2 linked regions of the Pelodiscus sinensis genome follow. The protein of the gene in region 2 purifies or fractionates together with the protein of the main gene of each other region. This does not show direct contact. Links are inferred from orthologs where the notes say so. Each region holds a gene or a part of one and is shown on either strand. Other genes may lie near its edges. The genes, in order: CDH5 and KDR.

Region 1 (8,025 bases), on a different chromosome or scaffold from region 2:
TCAGCAGCCTGATTGCAGAAAGTTGACTTTTTTCTCCAAATTATTTTTCACAATAACTTATTGTGTCCCATATATACTAGGGAATGCTAAATTCACGCTGTGCCTGAAATGGACATTAAATAACAGCAACTGCCTTTCAGTGGAATCAGCCACAAGACAAAACATGGTGTGTGTATATGTATCTTTCCAGCTCATTGACTTTCATGAGTTTCATGGAATTTGGACTTATGCAGGGTCTGGTGTTGAATGTTTCCTGAGAACTTTTAGTTCAAGTGAATGTTTAGGGGAATTAAGGATGCACAACACTTTAGAGGGTCAGGCCCAAAATACCATATCTGCCTGCCATATTGATATTTCATGCAATAAAATAAGCTCCAGAAGATAGTAACATATTCTTGAAAGTATGTCACAGGGCTCTGAAAAATGTGTTAAAAAAACCCATACATCCCTCAATTTGCCTGGTTTCATGCTTTGTTACAAATTTGAACAAGCTTGCTATAAGGTATATTTAAAGCTCACAATCTGGTTGAGTAAACATAAGGTCAGTGAATGGGCCAATTTATGTTTTTGCCTTGAAGCTGTAGCCTTTAATGGAAAACTTAGCAGTTTTTTATGGGATTTGAGTTTGGGGATTTGAACAAACCCCAAACTCAAAGCAGAAATTGGGATATGAGTGGGTTGTGAAATTCAGAAACAAAAGAAAATGTTAATGGAAACCCCCTGATAACTGAAATATTTTAGTTGTATGCAGCCTTAACCATGGCATTGTTCCTTTCCGTGTTTCCACTACAATACCAAGAATTCTGGAAGTACGTTTCCCAGTAGTATTTTTGAGAATGGATCTCAGAACTATAAAACTGCTCACATAAGGTGAAATGGTGGCTTCAGATCACCATGACTTGTGACCGTCATTATGGTGGGTCCTTGTGTTTTGATGTTGGTAGTAAATATGACACTAAACCAGTTCTCCCAGACTTGATCGCTCCAAAACGTTGTCGTCATTTCAAATCTAAATCCAGAATTGAGGTAAGCAAACAGCTGCTATCTTTGTAGTAGGCCACACTTGTATCCCTGCATCTGAGTGAAGTCAAGGTCTGTTTGGAATCCAGATCTAAATCCAAATTCTTGGAAGGATTTTCAAAGGCGTAAATAGGAGGTAAGCATCCAGCTTCCAATGAAAGTCAGTGTGTCTTGGGTGCCCGTCCGCTTTTTGTGCCTTGCAAATCTCCCTCCTCCCCCTATTTCTTGGGCACATCTCTAGTTTGCACAAATAATGACTGACACATAACAGTGCAAAAAGGAAATTAATTCTACCAACATATGTGCTCAGCAATTGGGGCTCCTCTCATTTTAAACATACTGGAATGAAGAGTGAAAAGTACTTTGTGCACCTTTTTAAAATGCTTTCCTCCAACACAAAATATTTCCAGTTCACACATCTCATGAAAGACATTTTTCCCCACTTGTCATTAGAGTTTGAATCTATCTAAATTAAGCTCCAAAGTGATCTGGAATGTGGATACACTTACATTAGAAACAAAAATGATGTATAAATGGTAAAACTTTAGACTAATCCTTTTTGAAAACCCAACCACCACTATTTGCTTGATTTTAAACCCCATCTTGCAGACAAGAAATAGTTTATTTTTTCTATTTTTCACTGGAAAAGGAAGATTTGTTTTCTTTTAAATATTATTTTATGTTTATATAGCCAAGCTCAGCAAAAGCTACAATCATATGAGCTTCCAAGGCAGAAATTATACAAGTCCCTTCACATATATCCTGTTTTTAATTACTCTATTCTACTTCAACAAAAGCAGGATATGAGGCAAACATATTATTTTGACAAATACCTTCATAACCGTTAACTGTTTGTGAAACACCTTCTGCTTAAGCATGTTCAGTACTGAGCCCTGCATCTAGCCCTATAGAAAAATCACAATTTTAATATTTAATATTTAAGATCGGAGAACTATTCACAAAAGCAGCCTATTCCACATTTTTTTTTCTTGAATTTCACATTCTTTCCTGTAGCATGGCATGCAGCACGGTGAGGTATAGTCCTCCCTGACTATAATTCCAACAGACACAAAGATGCATTGATTCCACTCTTATTCATAAACATTTGTGTCTTTGCAAGTTGCATGGAAAAATACAACTGAGGGACCTGCTACTATAACTATAAACATTATAGTTATAACAACATAAAAGCTCTGTCAGCGGTTTTCCTGTTTCAAGGCCCTCTCCATAAAGTAACTTACCAAAAAACTAGTAAGTTTGGAGAGCTGAGAGCCAGAAGCTTCTACTTCCAGACCAACAGATGATTGTAGGGATTAGGTATAATTAAATGGAACTTAGAACATCAAGGGTAACATTTTCAGAAGCACCTGAGTCCCATTTTTAAAAGTTGCCCAGGAACTTAGGCCCCAAAATCTCATTGAAAGTCAATGGGGACTTATATTCCTATTTGCCTGAGTCCCTTTTGAAGCTTTAAATCACTTATAAGTGATTTAAAGTGCCTTGTCTTTACACATATGTAGTTCCAGCTATGTGAAATCTGCATAGAGTTGCCTTTTGAACATGAGAGCTCTAACTTTTTGGTTCTTAGCTCCAATAGCAGTAATATTCCTTTCACAATTTTAAGTAGGTAAGAATACCCAAGGAACTCTGCAACCTTGAGCCAATGTATTTATGTCTGAAGGAAGCCAGATATAACATAGCATACATTTTTTCCAATGACAAACTAGTAAGCCTATTACTGTCTGCACTGCAGCTGAAAGGTCCCCAGATACATTTTGTAGTATTGATTCTGTTATTATGTCTCCTTGTAAAAGCCCAGTGACAGCATATCCTGGTATCTCAGCTTGCATCATGAACCACAGGTATAAAAAAGATATATTTCTTCAAGTCTAAATACTCCTTACAGTGTGAGAGTATTTTTCTGTAGCCTCAGAGAACCTGATTTTAATTTCATGCCAGTGTAAACTAATAGTATCTCCACTGATGCCAATAGAATTATGCCCAAGTTACAGCAGGATCACCTTAGAGGATGCTGCAAAGATATCTAATGACAGAATATTAAGTAAATAGTCCATCTCAGAACTTTAAACAGAAATCAAAGCAATAAAAGCCCTTAAAATTTACTTGAAAAGAGAAAGAGTACTCCACTGTCCCTTACCTGTTACACAAGAGGCGGTGAAGCTTTACTTTTATCCAAAGTTAGACAAACTAAATCAAAAGTATCCAGAAATCTACACAGCACTACTCAGAGTGAAGAACAAGTAACAAAAAAATCAGTTTTCATTGTCATTAAGCAATTCTGGGAGTGTTCAGCTTTCCAATCTCCAAGGTTCCCCAGCTGGGAGTCAGCCTTTTCCCATCCTGCATGCCAGCATCCTGTTATTGTTCCAAACCTTAGTAATGCCAATGACAGAAAAGAGTGGAGGAAACCAGATAAACTTAGGCTTATTATTACTATGCTTACCTTTTCAGAGGGACAACAAATAAGTATCTGAATAAAGGGAAATGGACTCTACCAGAAATACAAACCAGTGCTGGTGCTTAATATGTTTAGTACTAAACAGTTTAAAACAATCCCAGAATGAATACTTAGTATGGTTTATTTTCAAATGTTTTGTGTTCAAATGGAACAAGATTCTTCAATATTTTAGTAAGTCAAAGCCATCAGGATTTGTACACCAGAAACAATGATGAATGAAGTGCTCATCAGTCAGTTGGGAGTTCCCATAAACTTCCACTACTTCCCTTGGTGCAGAATTGATGAGTTTGCTAGTGGCATGAAAAAATATTTAGTAGATTGGTGTATACTGAAATTTTGGAAAATAAACATGAGTCAAATTCTGCTCTTGACAACAGCAGTATAGATTTGAAGCAACTGTGGTTCACACCGGTATGTTTGAGAGCACAATTTGGTTGCATGTCTTCAATTTAGGGCATGATTCTCCTCTGCCTTGCACTTTGTATATTCATTTCCACCTGTACAGGAAGGACACAGAAATGCTGCTGTTCGGATTTAGTTGCAAAGCACTAAAGAGACCTCAAAATTTAAGAAAAAAACTCTAATGGGAAAACTTTTGAATTAAATTGTTGCATTGCAATTTTTAAAGCTGATGAATATTTAGGGAGAGGGAAGGGGGAAAGTTAAACATTCCAAGTTGAGTGGTTGCAATTATGCTTGTGGACCTGATTTATTCTTCTGTTGCAGTCCAATGGGAGTTTCCCAGGTTTAGACCACAGTGAGTTTAATGGGCATTGCACCCATGAAAGTTAAGGTAGTTCAGTGTGAGAAGCAGATGGGTCTTCATAGAGCTCACATAGGCCTCGTCTACACTAACCCCCACTGTCGATCTAATCTACGTGAATTCAGCTATGCAAATAGCATAGCTAAAGTCAACATACTTACCACAGTGTCTTGTGTGCAGTAAGGTCAGCAGGGGCTACTCTGCCATTGACACCAACTACTCTTCTCATCCTGGTGGAGTATTGGCATCGACTGGGGAGCACTCGGAGATCAATTTATTTAACCAGACACAATAAATTAACAGCCAGTAAATCAATTGCTGTAGTGTCGATGCCCAGCGTAGTGGATACAAGTCCATAGAATATTTGTGCTCTGTTCTGGGACAGCAACATATACTTTAATTTCTCCTCCTACCCTAAATGCAAAGAAGAAAATGTAGACCCGCTATTTCTTTTACCCTGCAAGCCAGAGAGGAATTACTTTATTAAATAATTCAGGAGCAACTCTGAGAAGCATGAGATTAAAAAGAGACCAATGTCTGAGGTCTTACAGGTATGTTATAATAAATGTAGCCAAATGTGCAACATATTTTATAGAAGACTTTAAATAATAACATCCTGCAGTGAAATACTCGCTTGCCCCTATGCTTCATCACAATTTAGCAAAGGTAATGGGATTGATTTTTCCAGTTTTCTAGAAGACTGGTCTTTGGTTACATTATTTCACATTTTTATGACATGCAGTGGCAAAGATGAATAGCTCTTTTAAAATTTTGATACATTAATTATTCAGGAAGGTTAAGCACCTAATGAGCGGATATTTTTCAAAGTCTTCTTTAAGGAGACTGATTATAATTAGGTTTCCTCATAAGAAAATAAGCAGTTTCTATTTCACTGCTGAGTGAAGAGGAGAAGGAGAGATGGGGAGGATGTTAACTGCAGTTCACTGGAAAACAGTCATCTGCAGATGATGCAGCTTAGGCAATAGACTCTGGTACCCAGAGCAGATGACAGTTGTAGCTAGTGTTTATATTTGCAAATAACTCTATTTTTTGGATTGACAGAATGATCTTTGTTTAACAAAGGATGGTTGCTTAAAACATAATAATGTCGTCTTTACAGGTAATTTCTAGTCCAAGTTTTGCCAAATCCATATAGTCATAATCAACTTCTGTCTCACTTAAAGCCTTTATTCAGAGTCTACAGAAGTCAATGGGAATATTTCCTTTGCCTATAGTGGGCATTGGAGGAGTCCAATAGTGACAATTTGGCCACATCTCAGAGAAGCTATTTTAGCTGCCCTTTCTTCCCATATGTATGCAGGGACTACAAACCAATATTTTCCTTCGGATCCTATAGAAATTAATGGAGAATTGTCTGCCTCAGCATTCTGAAGGATAGTGGGAAAAATCAAAACCAAGTAACACTATTTTTCTATTAGCATTTAGAGTCTAAAAACCTTATTAAATTTCCACTGACCCTTTTCTCACTCTATAGATTTTATCTCTATGGAACCCTATAGGATTTAAAACATTATTATGAGGTAATTTGAGCTTGGATATTTTAGGATAAACTATCTTTGGATACTTAACCAAAACCAGACAATCTCCTAAACTTTCAGGAACTTAGTCTTTCTCACAGTTGTGCTTTCTGGGCAATAAACTCCAGAGGCATCTAATTAAAGTGGATTTTCAGGGGTGTTGAACACTTGGGCTACGTCTACACTGGCCCCTTTTCCGGAAGGGGCATGTAAATTTCACCAGTCGTCGTAGGGAAATCCGCGGGGGATTTAAATATCCCCCGCGGCATTTAAATAAAAATGTCCGCCGCTTTTTTCCGGCTTTTTTAAAAGCCGGAAAAGAGCGTCTACACTGGCCCTGATCCTCCGGAAAAAGCGCCCTTTTCCGGAGGCTCTTATTCCTACTTCAAGTTTGAATCCATTGCCTCTTGTCTTGCCCTCTTTGGCCAGAGCAAACAACTTTCCTTCATCTTTTTTTTTTTTTTTATGGCAGCCTTTCAAGTATATGAAACACTGCTATCATGTCCCCACCAATCTCCTCTTTCCCAAACTAAACATACCCAGCTCCTTCTGTCTTTGCTCACTTCCATCCCTTTGATCAGCTTTATTGCTCTCCTCTGGATACTTTCCAGTTTCTCTACATCCTTTCCAGACAGCTGTGACCAACACTGGAAACTCCAGCTGAGGCCTCATTAGCATCTCATGTATCCTATCACCCATGAGAGGTGGGTAATGAAGGCAAGAGAAGGAATGTCCTACCCAAACTGACATAGGTAACTCCACCCATGCTCCACCCCAGGTTAGGACCCTTCCTTACCTGAATGCTGCAACCTGCTCTTTGCCCAGTGCTGGGGCTGGTGGCTAGAAGGAAGCGGGACACCTGGGTGTCGGGTCTGACAGTGTAGCCCATGCTTCCTGTCTGCCTGGTGCTCTGGCACTGGGAAGGCTGATGCAGCCAGGCAGCTACACAGCTAATAGCTCTGGGGCCAGAAAGGCTGGGTGTATGGCTACCCTGAGCTGGGAAGACTGGGGCTGTGTGGCAGCCTGGCCACCTGGCCACCCAGTGCTCTGGGTCCTGGAAGGTAGGCACTGTGCATCTGCCTGGTGCCTCAGGGTTGGGAAGACTGGGACACCTGGAGCTTTGGGGTCAGATAGGCTGGGAGTACAGAGAAAGGGCCAGCAGCTACAATGCCCAGCAACCTGGCACTTCATGCCACCCACCTTGGTAGCCAGCGAGCAGCCACAATGGAGAACTTGGGGAGCATGGGGCAAGGGTCAGTGGCTGTAGTGGGGGCTGTGTGGGCTCTAGCGGGCATGGAAGGGGCTGGGCTTGCCTCTCCAAGCCAGCTGTTCACCCACCATCCATGCTATCACCTTCTGTGATTTGCATGATTTGCCTCTGTTAATGCAATCCAAAATTGCATATGGTTGGTATGCTTTTACTGAGGTACCAAACTTTAAGCAGACAAGTTCAAAACTGTAGACCTCTGTGTTTAAACAGAAAAACTTTCTAGAAGTAGATGGGAATGTGTAGACAGTGCATGGAATCCTCAGTGAGTAATGTGATCCATTCAGAGTGGAGGAGAATTAGAAGATGGAAGGGCTCAGAGGACTCAGACTTTGTGCCAATAAAAGATGCTGAACTAGTCACTAAGGACCCATGGCAGTTGTCTGCAACTGTAAATCTCTTCTACCTGAAGGAGCATTCAGCCTTTTCCACTGATGACATATCTCTTCAACATTTGTTCCACAACACATTTTTCAGTTAACTGGAGCCAGTTTTTTCACCCTGACAGCTTTGCTCCCTTCCTAGTCTTTGCCCCTTGGATGTTCAGCAGCTGCTCTGCATGCTGTTTTTGTGTTAGTTTAGTGCCATCTGGTTGAGAGCAGCACCTCCTTCTATCACGAGCTAAGGTTTCAGACTCATCCTTGTGTTAGATGCTGACATATATGCAGACAATCTGAATTCTTTACTCTTGTAAAGTAAACAGTCTTTTTACTGGACTGGAAAAATTTCCAGTTTTATTGTTGAGAGCTGTTTGTCTTATCCAGCACTGTTTAAACTTGGCATTTGCATAATGCCTAATAAAGTATATATGAGCTTGTTAATGAGAATAACACATTACAGTGGCTTGTAATTGCTCTCCCATTTAATATAATAAATACAGTCAGTCTGCTCCTGCATCACTTTCATAATGTAAATTAGGTATAATCTCATCACAATCAATGGAGTTACCTGTGTAAAA
Region 2 (7,955 bases):
AATGTTTCCCTTACCTGCAAGTAATATTTAGAGTATCATTTGCAGTTATTGCAAGGATATCTTTTTGTATGCTAAGACTTGGCTGATCTGGAGAAATAAACAAGCCTGCAAAAGAAAAGCAATAAATCAGAAAATCACTGCAAAAAAGGGGAAAGAGAGCATGTTTTAAGTTGACCTATTTGTTTAATGTGTTAAATGTTCTACAGCTTTTCACACATCCCAGTAGAAGTTCACGAGCTCTGTCATAACAGGAAGAATGGGCAGATGGTCATGAGCTAGCAGAATAGCTCTGCAATTCATAAAGCTCGGGTGGAGTTCCTGTTTTTTTGCATTACCAACTTCAAGGTCTAACAAAAGGATATGGGACATTGAAATAAAGTGAACCTTCATCTGATGATCTCACTCCCTTGGGAAAACTCTTATAGTAAATTGAATACATACATTTGCCAAGGCTGCTGATTAATGAATTCTGCTAAATTATTTTGCATAGTGCATCATAAACTCAAGGTCATTTGACCCAGTCTTGTTTTCCTTTATCGCATTTTCTAATGTATCTCCTTTGTTGCTTGAAACCCTAAGAAAACCTGTTTCTATCAAACCTTATTTAGGTGATTGGTTCCACGGCATTCGGGGAGAATACTCATGTCAGTTAAAGCTTGCAGATAATTTCCAATATTTGTTCTGATGTAACTGTCCTGCCCATGCAACCTTTCAAAGAACACAATGAGATGTTTTTGCCATTTATTATCATACTCACTCCCTTTGGGAATTCTGTGTCAGTAAAGGATGAGTACACATATCTGAGTAAGTTCTGAAACATTGCCTTGGCCAGACAACACGGCGTACTTAATGCAAATTCAGATGTACAAGGAGCAAATGAGTGAACGTGCACAATAAAATGAACAGCGATGGTACAGACTGGACCTCCTTTAACCAGGACTCCCTGGTTCAGCATCGTCCGTGGTCCATCCTAGACCACAGATATTCCTGGACCATAGAGCCCAGGAAGAGGGCAGTCTGGCAGGAACACTGTAAGGGGCACCGGCGACTCAACCGGGAGTCCAGAGTGTGTATGTGCGGTGGGGGAGGAGAGACAGCATGGCAGGGAGTTCTGGCCCCAGCTGAGCTCCCTGGCCCCAGCAGCAGCCAGGCCTGGCCCTGGCCAGGGAGCTCTGACCCCAGCGGCAGCCAGAGAGCTCTTGGTTCCAGCTATGGAGCTCCTGCTGCATTCTGGCTCCAGCAGCCACAGAACTCCAGCCCCAGCAGCCAGGGAGCTCTGGCCTGGGCCGCGGAGCTCTGTCCCCATCCCTCCACCCCAGCCACAGAGCTCCAGCCCCAGCTGTGGAGCCAGGTGGCTACAAAGCTCTGCCCTGGCTGTAGTGCCAAGCAGCTGTGGAGCTCTGCCTCACTGACAGTAAAGTCATCCTAGAGCTAGGGGCTTCACTATCTCGCCACAATTTCATCATATTTTTATCAAACCTTTCCTACAGAGATTCTTTGACAATAGGGTTCAGATAATTGATTTCTGTTGCACTTTACTGTAGAAAGCCATCACTAAGGTAAAAATTTGAATTAAGAAGGAAAATCAAATCAAATTTATAACTTACTCTTTATCATAGGATTTGCAAATAATGATTTATCTAATCTAATCGTCCAGCAAACAGGTTTAAATCTTTCTGGACTAAATCCTCCTCCCATTTGCGTGCCTTCAACAAAACTAGTGTACAGCTAAATAAGAGTCCCTAGAAGTGTTCGATACTAAAACTGAGATTTTATTCTCATTCAGTGTTGCTTTGTTAGACGTAAAAACTAAAGTAAAATAAGCTCCATTTAGTCAAGAATGTTCAGCCTTAGTCAAACTGACCATTGTATGGCTAGATTGTTTTCTTCAAGGTGAAACATCATGCCATGAACTAAAATTACTCTTATGCATATCTCTAAGGAGAGTATTCCAAAAGAAAATACATTGGTAACTTACATATGCACTTCAAAAAAAACATGATATACAAATATGAGGATCAATAAAATAGTATTACTTGTTGTGTAAACATGCAAATGTTTGGTATTAAATTAATATCCATATTATAATAGTCAAAATGTTTGAGTTCCAAACACAAGCATAATTTTAATTATATGAATATCCATATTAGAATAGCCAAAAAAGGTTATTTTTGTGTTAGACACAGGCATTATTTTAGTTAACTTCCAAGTCATCCCAATTTATTTAATTTCTGCTAAAATATTAATTTCAGTATGATTGTTATCACTGGGCTTAGTCTCAGTCTAAATAGCCTCCTTTAATGAGAAAGAGAATAGCATAAATGTATCATGTTGAATTTCAAGAATTTTGTACCACTTATTCCCAAGACAACGGTATAGTGAACAGGTGATTATTTCCAGGCACTCCACTCATTCTTGTTTAGGCTGTAGAGGCAGGAGTTAGTTGTATTTTGTGTCTTGCACAGCATATTGTTAGCTCCTCACAGACAGAAGGAAACTCCTTTTCCCCCATCTTGTTTCCCCATTCCCCCCTTTTCGTTAAGATCTGCCTTGGCCATGGGAAAGTTTGGCAAAACTGCCTGGCGCTTGGTGAGTTTTCTACAAAAGATGCAGGGATGAAATTATGGCTCCATCTCTACACATGCTGATCAGCCTGCATGGTCACTCCAAATTCTCCTGGTAAAGCCATGGCCTGTGCACCTGCCTATTCTCTCGTGCAAGGCACAGGATGTCCTGTCCTTTGCAGCACCTGAGCAGGAATAAGGAACAGCCTCTTCCTCTGGAGACCTCAGGGGAAGGAGGAGGCCATGGCCAAGGCTAAGACCTTTAACAAGCTCCGTAGGCAAAATCTCAGCTGGAGCTATAAATGGGGGTGACTCCCTTGGCTTCCCTTTCTCAACTCACCCAAGAAGACCGTCCCCAGGTCACCAGGCAACACAAGCCAGGGGCATAGGGTGAAATCCTCCCTCTACTGAAGCCAAGACCAAACCCCCCATTGACTTCAACAGGGGCAGGATTTCCCCGGGGGGTTTATTCCGCCTGCCCCAGTCCCTATGTTCTGGCTCCATGCGGTTCGCTTTGGGGGCTGGGACAAACCTCCCGTCGCTTCCCACGGCAGCAGGATCGGGCCCTGCTGCATCTCCGGGGTTAGCCCTCGCCCGGCTGCTCCCATCAGAGCATCTGCCCCGAGGCTCTGGCACTTCCCGGCGCGCCTGCCCAGCCTGGTCTCCCCGCATCTGCGCTCCATGGGCCGGAACCCCCCGGGCTCCCCGCGCGCCCCTCACCTGCAGCCGGCGGGCTCCCCAGCCACAGCAGCAGCGCCAGCGCCACCGCCACCGCGTCCTCCATCGCCCCCCGGGAGCGGGCTCCGGCTGCTGCCAGCGGCGCCTTGTGCGCAGAGCGGGCGGGCGGGCGCTAATCCTGGTGCCGCTGGGGCGAGTCTCTGCGCCCTGGGTGCGGGCAGGGCCGCTCCGCGCGAGCTGGGGCTGTGCCAGGGCATCGCAGCCGGCGCCCGCAGCGCCTCTTCTTTATTCCGGGGGAGGAGACAGACTCCTGCGGTGCCTCCCACCTGCCCGCCCCCGGCCTTCCCCTCGCCCCGCCTCCCCTGGGGCCTGGGCGCACGTGGCCGCTCAGCCCGCTGCAGTGTAGTGGCCCAGCAGCGCCCTTCGCCCCCAGCTTGCAGCGCTCAGACAGATGGGCTTTTATCGAGTGACCAACCCTCGGCCTCTCACCTCCCCTGCCTTCAGTGGGGCTTAACCATGGAGGGGGCTGGTGCATCTGCTTCTTTAAGCACTTGGCTGATCCTGCAGAGTCTTAACATCATGATTTGAGGACTTCAGAGCCTGGGGTTTAATTACAGACATAGGTGTTGGAATGGGGGTGCTGCAGGTACTGCCACACTACCTGGCTTGAAACAATAATGACAACCCAAATCCATGATTTCCACCTTCAGCATTGCCACGGCACCACTAATTACAGGAATGGGAGAGAATTTTGCAACTTGCAATGTGCAGGCAACTAGATCATGATGGTCCCTTTTGATCCTAAAGTCTATGAGATTCACTGCAAACACTGATGCATTTTGCTTAATCCATCCCAGTCAGCAGGCTTTATTAGAGAATAACAGCCCAGAGACAATCAATTTGGATCATATAGCCAGTTAAAGACTGCTGGCTTCAAGTACAATTCCTGAACATAAACTATATGTGCTTCAGCAGCAAGATCTTGTAAGCACTAGCCCTGGGGGGTTCCCAAACTACTCAGACATCACAGCTAAGGGAAAGGATATTTTACTTGGGCTGGAAGGAAAAGGAAAACTTGCAAATACCCTCTGTACAGAGCCTTGGATTAAAAAGTTGCAATTCTAAGTGAGCAATTATTGTAAGCATTTGGGTCCTTGGAGGTGGTGCAGTAAAGAGTGGGGGCTCTTCAGACCTAATGCCTAAGGTGCCCTCTCTGGTCCAGTCTCTGTTATTCATATCAAATAGGATCTTGTGGGTTTCCAGGCAGGCTCATATAGGCCAAGTCCAGACTAGCGAGCAATGTCAAACTAAGATACGCAAGTCTAGCTACATGAATAGCTACAGCTACAACTTACCACAGCATCCCTACTTTGAGGGCTCAACAGGAAAAACTCTCTCATCAACTTCCCTTTCTCTTCTTGGTCCAGTGGATTATCAGAGTCGACAGGAGCGTGATCAGCGATCAAATTAGCAGGTCTTTTCTAGACACGTTAAATCGAATCCCAGGACATCAATCTATGCAGCAGTATGTGTAGACAAGTGTATCACTGGGCTCCCTCTGCACTTGTTCTCTGCCCAGGCACTCCTGTTCCCCCACAAGTCCTACATAGACTTTTAATGTCTGGCAGTCACAGCCTGTCTACATATAGTACTACTGCATATGGTTCCTGTCTCCACCTTTTAACCAGCTCCCTTCTTGCAAGACAAGATTGAGAGGCAACTGGAGACAGGGTGTATGTTTGTGAAACAAACAAACAAACAAACAAAAAAGCAAGCTACTCAAGGGAAGGCCAATCACCACATTGGGCACATTGCTTATGTGTTTCTTTAAAGAGCCTTTGTCTCCCTTTTTAAATTGTAAAATCTTTGTAGTGGGGACAGCAACTGTGCCTTCCTTTCTGTTTGTACAGTGTCCAGTAGGGATGTAAAATCCCTTTTTAAAAGTTAAATGGTTAAACGTTATATTGAGCGGGTTAACCAGGATCCCACAGACAAGGGGGTCTCTCCAGCCCAGCCAGGCTGGACCAGCCCCCTGCACACAGTAACTCCTACTCCACCCTGGGTTGCTCCGCCCAAGCTGGGATGACTGAACCAACTGTGCCATGGATGGTGGAGCCTGGGGGACTGCTCAAGCGGGGCTGGGCCCACAGCAATTCAGCATAGACCAGCCAGGCCACCAGTTAACCAGTTACCCACTTAACCCTTTACATCCCTAGTGTCTAGCACACTGTGATCATCCCTGGAAACAAATAAGTCAGTGATGTGGGCTGAATAGCAGGGGAGGAAGGTGACTTTTGCCACAGCTTTTTGGATGTTCTGGTAAAGAACAAATTAAGGAAGTGTTATTTACCTCTTCACATAACAAGATACTGTAAAATCTGGAGTATAATGTGCACCTATGTATAATGAGCATCCGCCTTTTAAAGGTCAAAATTCTTGAATAAACTAAACTCTTATCTATAATCCGCACCCTCATTATACTCGAGATTTTAAGGTATGCATAGGAAGGAAGGGGCTCGCGCCTGCTGCGGGGTCCCCCTGCCCAGCTGAACTCATGCAGGCTGAGCTCACACCTGCTGGGGGAGCCTCTCCAACCCAGCTGTCCGCATGCCAAGCTTGCGCCTGCTGGGGGGGGGTGTCCCCCGCCCAGCTGACAGCACGCTGAGCTCGCGCCTGCGGGGCCCCACCCCACCCCAGCTCAGCCCAGCCCCGCCCAGCTCATGCCTGCTGAGGGTGAGTTTAAAACTTTTTTAAAAACCTCCTATAAATAATGCGCACCCCGACTTTGATGCTAAAAAAAACGGGGGAAAATTGTGCATTATATTCGAGATTTTACGGTACTTGGTGATTACCTAATGAAATTAATAGGCGGAAGATTTTTTTTTAAAAAGGAAGTATTTTTTCACCCAATGCTGTCAGCCTGTGGAACTCATTGCCAAAGGATCTTGTGAAGGGCAAAAGTAAAACTGTGCTAAAGAATTAGATAAGGTCATGGAGGGCATGGTCATTAGCTAACATGGTCGGGGACTCAACGCCATGGTCTGGGTGTCCGTAGCCCTCTCACTGCCAGAAGTTGGGATGGGAAGACAGGGGATGGATCACTCAATAAATCAGCCTGTTCTGTTCATTCTCCCTGAAACATCTGGCACTGGCCACTGTCAAAAAACAGGACACTAAAGTAGATGGACTGCCAGAGAAGCAGAGGCTTATAGTTGGCTTCCTGAGTGCCTTCCCCGTTGCTGCACTGAGGCTACGTCTACACTACGAGTTTTCTCGGCAAAAAGCATGCTAATGAGGGCCTCATTTGCATGAGTCGCAATCTCAATTGCATATTTTCTGCTGATCTGTTTTTGCACTGTGGTTTTTGCGCAAAAACAAGCAGTTTGAACATTTTCTCTTTGAGCAAAAACTCCTTTTTCCACAAGATCCTTATGCCCCAAAAAAGGAGGTTTACCGATCTTGTGGAAAAAGGGGTTTTTGCGCAAAAATAAAATGTCCTCACTGCTTGTTTTTGTGCAAAAACCCTAGCACAAAAACAGATCGTCAGAAAATATGCAAATGAGATTGTGACTCATGCAAATGAATCCCTCATTAGCATATTTTTTGCAGAGAAAACTGGTAGTGTAGACATAGCCTGAATGTATCTTGACCATAACAGAACATCTTAGCCCTTCATGTGAGAGCTCATGACTAAAGGATCCAGTAGACTCAGATTGCCTGATTCTGCCTTCCTCCGAAAACAGGAACTAGAAGGCTCTTTATAGAGTGGCACAGATGAGATAATTTGTCAGACTTGGAGGGGACTTACGGAAGGCTCCCAACAAATCACCTTGTTTTGTTTTTTGTTGTTGTTGTTATTCCCTGGAGAGTCAACCTGTTTCCCTGCAGTAGTTTAATAAAAACCATTTCTCTCTCCCTCAGGCTCTAAACTAGGAAAACCCTGTATTTTGAAAACAATCAATGGGCAAGATATGTGTAAATGGGGGAGGACAAACATCTCCCCTTAGCTAAACAGGGGCCAACATGCTTTTGTTTATGCATCTGCTGCTGTGATGGCCAAAACCTCATTAAATACAAGACACAAAGAAACAGCAAAGACTTTTGGAAAGGGATCAGGCCAGAGGCTGGCAGCTCCCCTGAGTCATTCCCCCTTCCCTCTCCCCTCTGACATAGTCACGACTCCTCAGCACTTTGCAGCCAGCCAGGACCCTGGCTTTAGGAGCCTGGCCCGGACAGCCAGCAGCAGCAGGGCAGACAAGCAGCCTTTTGTTTTCTTAATTATTTCAAACAACATCCTGGGGAAGATATGGACTGGTGCTGAGGTTCATAGCCTTGGCTGCTTTAGCCCAGGAGCTCTATAAATGGCCTCTGTGTATATCTTCCCAATGGGCCACTTCAACCCAGTAGCACCAGCAGCACAGAATGCAAGGCTATCAGCACGGCAGCACAAATGCAGACTGCACATGAACATAAGTATGGCTAAGCACCAGGGCTCAGATCCTCCATGATATTTAGACATCTAACCCCCACTGATTTCACCTACATACATTTAGGCACTAAATCCCCATTTTACCTATTTAAAAATGGTCTGATTTTCAGAGGTGCTGAGCATCAAAAATTCCCATTGACTTTACTGGGATGTTTGAATGTTCAACACTTCTGCAGATCAGGTCACTTTGTTTAGTGGATTTAGGAGCCCCTGACTGGCCAATG

What was found.
Region 1: the proteins of KDR (region 2) and CDH5 purify together in Homo sapiens (affinity purification with western blotting; 3 studies listed by BioGRID and IntAct, with this or other methods). This does not show direct contact. The link is inferred for Pelodiscus sinensis from reciprocal best matches to the Homo sapiens genes KDR and CDH5.

Annotation. Positions count from the first base shown.
Region 1 is NC_134722.1:19,395,110-19,403,134, reverse strand, and holds the start of CDH5 (cadherin-5), read right to left. Parts: upstream 3,358-8,025; 5' UTR 3,179-3,357; intron 1-3,178. UniProt on the Homo sapiens protein: Cadherins are calcium-dependent cell adhesion proteins. They preferentially interact with themselves in a homophilic manner in connecting cells; cadherins may thus contribute to the sorting of heterogeneous cell types.
Region 2 is NC_134715.1:85,100,946-85,108,900, reverse strand, and holds the start of KDR (vascular endothelial growth factor receptor 2), read right to left. Parts: upstream 3,514-7,955; 5' UTR 3,349-3,513; coding exon 3,285-3,348; intron 106-3,284; coding exon 15-105; intron 1-14. UniProt on the Homo sapiens protein: Tyrosine-protein kinase that acts as a cell-surface receptor for VEGFA, VEGFC and VEGFD. Plays an essential role in the regulation of angiogenesis, vascular development, vascular permeability, and embryonic hematopoiesis.